Linked DNA regions of Arabidopsis thaliana. Each later gene encodes a partner of the first gene's protein in a complex. Each region holds a gene or a part of one and is shown on either strand. Other genes may lie near its edges.

Region 1 (3,916 bases):
AAAATGGTCCAAATATAATTTAAATTTGGCCACAAAACAACATTTTACAAACAAATTCAACAAACATGCATCGTTTCAAATTTTATTTATTCAATGGCGTTATTTGTTCATTGTAAATATTCTGTTTAACTCACTGACGAATTTTTTAATTTTTCAAAGAAGAACATTTTTGATATAAATAACATTTTATGGAACCACCGGTTAAGCTCGATGATTTTGAGTTTTAGTTTTGTCGTTTTGTGAAATCATTAACGACCTACATTTGATCCCTCATTACTTTAATAATTAGGAATCAAACATGATGATTAAGTTCACCAAAGACGTCTCTTATGGCTATTAAGAGTCAGACGCAAGGATGACCGGGGTCATTAAGACGTCTTATATTCAACCATTACTCCACTAATTGCTAATTAATCAGATTAATTTGTTTAATACGATAATGTATTTTGATTAAGTAGCTCTCAGCCAACAGGCAAAGGATAAATTTTGGATTATTCAAAGATTTGTGGGCTTCCAAAAGCATAGGGAATGGCTCCAACTACATTGGGAAATATATTATTTAAATCTCCATTCCCATTTGCCACAGTCGTTGGAGTTTATTTTTTTTTTCCAAGTGGAAGAATCAATTATAATTGTCGGAATTTCTAAATCCTACTTGTTGGAAAACAAACCCAAGCAAAATTAGTTTAGAAATGTACGGAAATCTACTATAGAATTATACTAAACATATCAATATAGCTTTGACTTTAAAATTAAAACAATTATTGTGGGCAATTAGTTAGATATTTTACCAGGGAAATAAGCAGCACTGTTCATGCACTCTCTTCTTAATTACTATACTTTGAAAGAACTTATATGTCACTGTATTGCCAGTTGCCACTAATATATAAACAACATTTCACTTGTTGACATCGCTGTAAATGAAGTTTGGAACGACCCTCTTAACAACTAATAGGGTTAATTAACCACTAAATTTTTCCAAGTTGTCATTTTGTCTTAATGTGAGACGTAATATCTAATACGTCGGTCTAACCTAAGAGTTGGTTCCGATCACAAATTTTTGAGAAGTACCTTTCAATAAAAAATTTGTTGTTATAATTTCACCGTGTTAAGTAAAAACTTAATTAGGAGCTATTTTCTATTTGATGTGAATTTGAAAATGTCTTCATAAAAATAGTATGGAAAAGGGAATGTAATTAATATAGACCACAGATACAAAAAGATGTCCCGTGCTTAACACGTCTGAGTCATTGTCGTACCCTTTTGCCAACTTTTTCAAGTTTCTTTCGTGAAAATGACTACACTTTTTAAAATAAATTGACAGATGATTGTTGCATGCATATAATATTCGCAAAATGCCAAATTCTACCCTTAACCAAATAATGTGGTAATGGATATAAAATAGTTAACATAAACAAAAATTTGGAAATTTTGAAAAATAGAGAGTAAATTGATTTTTTTTAAAAAGTTTGAATTGAAGTGAAAAAATATATAAATAAAAATAATAAACCTGTAGTTTGATATATATAGTTAGATAGCTCAAGTTTGAGTAACTTGAAGTCTTGAATTACTTTATATGTTTTTCTCACAGATTATATTATTTTCGTTCTATCCCAAGAATTGGGATAATATTCTCTATATTCGAGGCCTCTCTCTTAAGAAGTCGGTGTATAATCTTAAGCCCTTACTTGACACAAGGCCTCTATTAAAAAGCCCAATAATAATTTTTCTTTTCAAAGCCCAACACGTCAAGAGGAGAAAGAAGTGCGTTTGCGTTTGGATTGAAAACGTGGCGGGCGGTTGGAAACTGAATCTTAAACCCTTCACTCACATTCATCTTCACCGTCAAATCTCTGAAACTGAGCTTCGACGATGTTGGGTTTACGAAGATCTGCGACGACCTTGTTCGACATCAGCCAGTCTCTGCTTCGTAATGTTACGGTTAGTATCTGTCTAACACTTCAGCGCCACATTTGGGTTTTACGATTAGGGTTTCAATAGATCGAATCGATTCATCTCTCTTGGTATTAGATTTCATCAAATTCAAATCTATCGTCACCTAAAAATCTCTCTTTCGGTATGTAGTATTTCCGGGGTTGTTTCAAAGTCGTCTTATTGCTCTGTGATTTTGGCTTCTTACCCATTTTCAACAGTGCTATGTAGAAGAAAGAACAAATCTTTGAAATCGAAAGGTCTAATGTATAGTTCAATGTCTACATTATGAGATTGCCATGATATTATAGTCAAACGATTCTCCTAAAGCGTTTACTTTTGTGGAGCATTCTTTGTTAGTTCTATGCAAATAAAGTTCTAGGAATGATAATTCTTAAGGAAGCATCTCAAATGTTGGCTAGTTCTTGTCTCAGGTTAAAACAATGTTTTGCAATTTGCTTTTAGTTAGAATTGTTGACTTGCTTAGCTTTTTGACTAACTCTGTCTCTGTGAAGCAAAGTTTGATCAAACCCATTACCTTATTTGATTTCTCTCTTTAGATTATACATCAATTTATGTATTTTCTTTGTCTACAGTTTCATGGGTTACGAGTCCAAGGAATTCGTGTGGGAAACGCAGAGGTTCCAAACAATAAGCCACTCAAAACCGGTCTTCAAGAAGTTTATGGAATCGGCCGCCGTAAATCTCACCAGGTTCTCTGTCACCTTGGAATCACTAACAAACTTGCCAGAGACTTAACTGGAAAAGAACTCATTGATCTCCGTGAAGAAGTTGGCCAGCACCAGCATGGTGATGAACTGGTATAATCCTTTTATCCAATCACATTTGACTTTCTTATCATGGTCTTAAATCTATTCCATCTCTCAAACCGTTTTTGTTGTTCGATTTTAAAGAGGAGGCGTGTTGGATCGGAAATACAGAGACTGGTCGAAGTAGATTGCTACAGAGGTAGTAGACATAGACATGGATTGCCTTGCAGAGGACAAAGAACCAGTACTAACGCTCGCACCAAAAAGGGCAAAGCCGTTGCGATTGCAGGAAAGAAGAAAGCCCCTCGCAAGTAAACCTGTCTTTCTATCTATTCTCTGGGATTCATAAGTTGTAATCCATGTCTTATTGTTTACAGACATGGCTTTGTGTTATTTTTGGGATGAAACTGATCAAATAAGTAAAACATGATTTGTCCAGTCTTTTTTTGTCATTGCCATTGCCATTGCCATTGCAGAGGAAGAAGAATGCTTCAAAACTGTTCTGCAATACTCTCTCTAGCTTCTATAGTCTCTCTTTGTGTGATTTGTTATCCTAAAAACATGGATTGAAATTGAGCCCAGTTTCAATTTCTTTTTTTGGTTTTGTCAACAAGACTAATTCCAAATTTGTCTTCAGCTTATTGTGTAATTCACATTTGACCTTATATTAGTGGCCCATCGTAAGAAGCCCATGTAATTATTTTGTAGCCCATTAACAATTCGTGTTGGATTCAACAATGCTATAACGTCAACATATTACATAAGTTACATCAACAAAATAGATACCCAACTTCATTATTTTTTTTTTTTTTTTTTTGCTCTGATAAAATATACAGCAAAGATATGATACGGGTTGGGACACGAATCATGGGGAACAAAATAACGAAATCGAATTGGAATCACAAGAAATGAGACCAAGTGACTTGAAATTGATATATCAGAGAGATAAATTTGGGAAATAGACTAATCGGAAGCCCTACTAGACCCGATCACATTTATTTACCAATGATCGCATTTCCTCTCCACTCATTTGTTTGTCTAAATGATCCTCCACGTAATCTTTCATTTTCTAGCTTTTTGAACAATAACTTATGTGGGCCTTGAAAATTATATGGGCCTATTTTGAGTGACCCACAACCATGTGATTCATCTTTTTTTTTTCTATTTTTTTTTTTGTCTAAATCGTAATTGCACTCGTGATAATACACTCCACT
Region 2 (3,786 bases), about 20 Mb from region 1:
AATGGCGCTGTATCCAGCTTCTTTTCTCCCTTTATTCAACTCATTATCTAATGATTTTTCTGGGTTCCCTGCAACAGCGTGTGTCCCAGCTAGAAGAATTGCATCTGCCGGATGAGTCTCACCCATTTCAGCCAATCTCATCATCACACTTTCCCCCAAATCTGCATTCCCGTATACTCTACAAGCAGCTAGCAGAGCACGCCAAGCCGTTGAATCACTTGTGATCGGTAAGTTCCTTATTAACTCATACGCTTCCTCTAACTGCCCCGCTCGACCTAAAAGATCAACCACACAACCATAATGTTCAACTTTGGGCGTGAAGCTGTAAGCCTCAACCATCCTCTTAAAGCATCTGATTCCTTCCATTACCAACCCTCCATGGCTACAAGCATTCAGCACAACCAAGAAGGTAATCTCATTGGGTCTCACTTTGCAGTTCTCTTCCTCCATCTTATTGAATAGTGTTACTGCTTCTCTTGCTAGTCCATGAGCTCCATAACCCGAGATCATCGCGGTCCAGGACTTTACATCCTTATCCTTCATTCTATTGAAAATCTCAACAGCTTTTTCAAGCAATCCTACTTTTGCATACATATCAACGAGTGCAGTTCCAAGTATTGCATCCAAAGCTATTCTTTCCTCTTCCAATAGATCAGCAACAGTACGTCCTACGAATGCTGCTTCACTGTACGCACAGGAAGACAACAGCCCAACAAATGTAGATGAATTCGGTTTCATTTTTTCATACTTCATCTGCCTCAGTAGCCATACACACTCTTCAAGGAGACCCGTTTTGGCATATTGGTCTATCATACAGTTCCATGTAACAACATCCTTTCGAATGGCGCAATCAAAGATCCTGCGTGCTGAACTGATACCCCCAGTTTTGCCGTACATCCCTATCAAAGCTGTGATTAAATGCAAGTCTAAATCAAGGCCAATCTTGATGCATAACACATGAGCAGATTCTGCTCCAGACAAATCTCCTAGATCACTAATAGCCGAAAGAAAGCTAAGCAACGTACTGACATTAACGACCACCTCACTTTTTCTCATAATCCTAAACAAATCCAAAGCCAACGCTTTCTTAGAAACCTGAAGATACCCATTCATCAAAGTACTAAACGTAACAGCATCAACACTCTGCGGCATTTCGTCGAACACTTTCCGAGCATCACTAATCTTTCCACAAACACAGTAAAAATGTATAAGAGCATTCCTCAAATCAGTAAAAACCATAAACCCAGATCTCAAAGCAATCCCATGCAATCCCTCACCAATTGAAACACACAATTCACGAGAACATGATTTAAGAGTCGTGATAAACGAGAATCGGTCCAAGGTCAAACCTTTAGCTCTCAATTGGTTGAAAACAGAAAATGCTCGCTCCGGCTCATCGCTAATCGAGTAACCTCTGATCATAGTGTTGAACATAAAGAGATTAGTGTTGGAGACATGCTCGAAGATCGACGAAGCGTATCGAATGTCAAGTACAGAGGAAAAAGCAAGAAGCTTGCTCACTGCGAAATCGTCCTTGTCGAGTCCCGTTTTCACCATGTAACCATGAATTCGAGAAACTTCGACGGTGTCTCTGCAAGACCTTAGATCGTTGATAAGTTTCTGACATTGTGGAGACAACAACGATTCAAGATTCCTACGACGGAACACGAAATTGCGCCTGAGCCGTGACGTAATCGCCAATGTCATCAGAAAGAAAAAAAAGTCGCCGGAATAAACACGGATTTGTTTTTTAAGCTTAAAATATCAAATTGGGCTTTAGTTCCTTAATGGGCCTTATTTTGGTCCAAATCCAGTTACGTGGCAAAGAGAATTAGGGCTCTTTGTTCTTCTTATTTAAAAAAGTTACGCCTTTCTTCTTCTTCTTCTTCTTCTTCTTCTTCTTCTTCTTCATTTCTAGGATTCGAAACAACAATCAACGCGATGGGACGAAGTAAGCAGATTGCTAAATAATCTATTTCTCTGAATGTAATCGATCTTCTATGGATAGATAGATTCGTTCTCTGCATATCGTATTTGCTAGGGTCTCTGTTTTTCGATCTCATTGGAGACGAGTTTTGTCGCCGGAATCGTAAATTAGACTTGCTTAAGCTCGGAATTTACATGTGGATTAGGTTCGTTTTGTTAGGTTCAGTGTCAAAAATGGATTTTTCTAATCACTCAAGTCGCATTATTAGATTTGCTTAAGCTCGGAATTTTACATTTGGATTAGGCTTTTGTTTGAATTGCGTATCAGAAAGGATTCAACTTGTTATTGAAAATGTATAAATGTATTCAAATGTGTAGGACCTGCGAGATGTTACCGTCAAATTAAGGGAAAGCCATACCCTAAATCAAGATACTGTCGTGGTGTTCCCGATCCTAAGATCAGGATTTACGATGTTGGTATGAAGAGGAAAGGAGTTGATGAGTTCCCTTACTGTGTTCATTTGGTTTCATGGGAGAAAGAGAATGTTTCAAGTGAAGCTCTTGAAGCTGCTCGTATTGCTTGTAACAAGTACATGGTGAAGTCTGCCGGGAAAGATGCGTTTCATCTCCGTATTAGAGTTCATCCTTTCCATGTTCTTAGGATCAATAAGATGCTTTCTTGTGCTGGAGCTGATAGACTTCAGACTGGTATGAGAGGTGCTTTTGGCAAAGCTCTTGGTACTTGTGCTAGAGTTGCTATTGGACAGGTTCTTTTGTCTGTGAGGTGCAAAGATGCTCATGGTCATCATGCTCAGGAGGCTCTTCGTCGTGCTAAGTTTAAGTTCCCTGGTCGTCAAAAGATCATTGTTAGCAGGAAATGGTATGATTTGTGTTTGCTTTTTTATGTTACTTTCTTTTTGTTTTGCAAAAGGCTTCTTGTTGATGTTTGAAGTTGGAATATTATAGGGGGTTCACCAAGTTTAACCGTGCTGATTACACAAAGCTAAGGCAAGAGAAGAGGATTGTCCCTGATGGTGTAAATGCCAAGTTCCTATCTTGCCATGGTCCGTTGGCTAACCGTCAGCCCGGAAGTGCGTTCTTGTCAGCTGGTGCACAGTGATGCAGATGACTTGTCGATGTGGAGTTGATATCCTAGTTTTGGCAGATACTCAGTTTTTATTTTTTTGTTGGTAGTGACAGTTACAAACAATTCTCTTGCGGTTCTGTTGTTCATGGATAAGTTTTATGAAAGACTTGTTTTGTTATCTTTCATTTATGCAAATTTGGAAATGAGCTTAATCATTGTTGTCATTTGTGTTCTAGCACCACTTGAGCTCACACCTTGAAACCCGGCATTACCCATTGGTTCTTATAGTTTACTTCAGTGTTAACAATATCGATTATGACTACTATTACGTAAACCTGCGTACGGTCCAAGTTCAGGCCCATAAACTTAAGGACTGTTTCTGTAAGATTCAGCTATTCCCCATTGACACATGAATCTAAAGCATCGTTGCTGGTGAATCCCTAGCTTCAAGATGAGTACAGGTGCGTCACTTTGCTCTTCCATTTCTGTTTATCTATCGATTAGTCTCCTACTTATCTAAGATTATGAGGGATCTATTCTGGTTTTATTTTCTGCTATTGAATTTTTTCGATATCTTGAGAATTTATGTGTTTGTGATGCGTTTGTGTAAAATCCTCTGTTGCCTCATCAAAAACCCTATATAGAAAATTCAGTGTTCCCACAACTGTTCTTCCCTATCCATTATTTATTTAAATGTACTTCAACTTAGATTGTTAAAGAAATTCTTTGCACATAATGCAACTCCAATCATTCTCTTGCAAATACTTAGATAT

What was found.
Region 2: AT1G77750 (region 1) and RPL10B share a complex: the UniProt entries of both Arabidopsis thaliana proteins name them as parts of the small ribosomal subunit.

The regions. Positions count from the first base shown.
Region 1 is NC_003070.9:29,229,447-29,233,362, reverse strand, and holds AT1G77750 (Ribosomal protein S13/S18 family), read left to right. Parts: upstream 1-1,635; 5' UTR 1,636-1,872; coding exon 1,873-1,941; intron 1,942-2,528; coding exon 2,529-2,753; intron 2,754-2,846; coding exon 2,847-3,017; 3' UTR 3,018-3,373; downstream 3,374-3,916. UniProt on the Arabidopsis thaliana protein: Located at the top of the head of the small subunit, it contacts several helices of the 18S rRNA.
Region 2 is NC_003070.9:9,319,768-9,323,553, forward strand, and holds RPL10B (Ribosomal protein L16p/L10e family protein), read left to right. Parts: upstream 1-1,882; 5' UTR 1,883-1,941; coding exon 1,942-1,951; intron 1,952-2,197; exon of another isoform or gene 2,198-2,304; coding exon 2,305-2,806; intron 2,807-2,892; coding exon 2,893-3,046; 3' UTR 3,047-3,261; downstream 3,262-3,786. Other genes in the region: AT1G26900 (Pentatricopeptide repeat (PPR) superfamily protein), read right to left, coding at 1-1,707.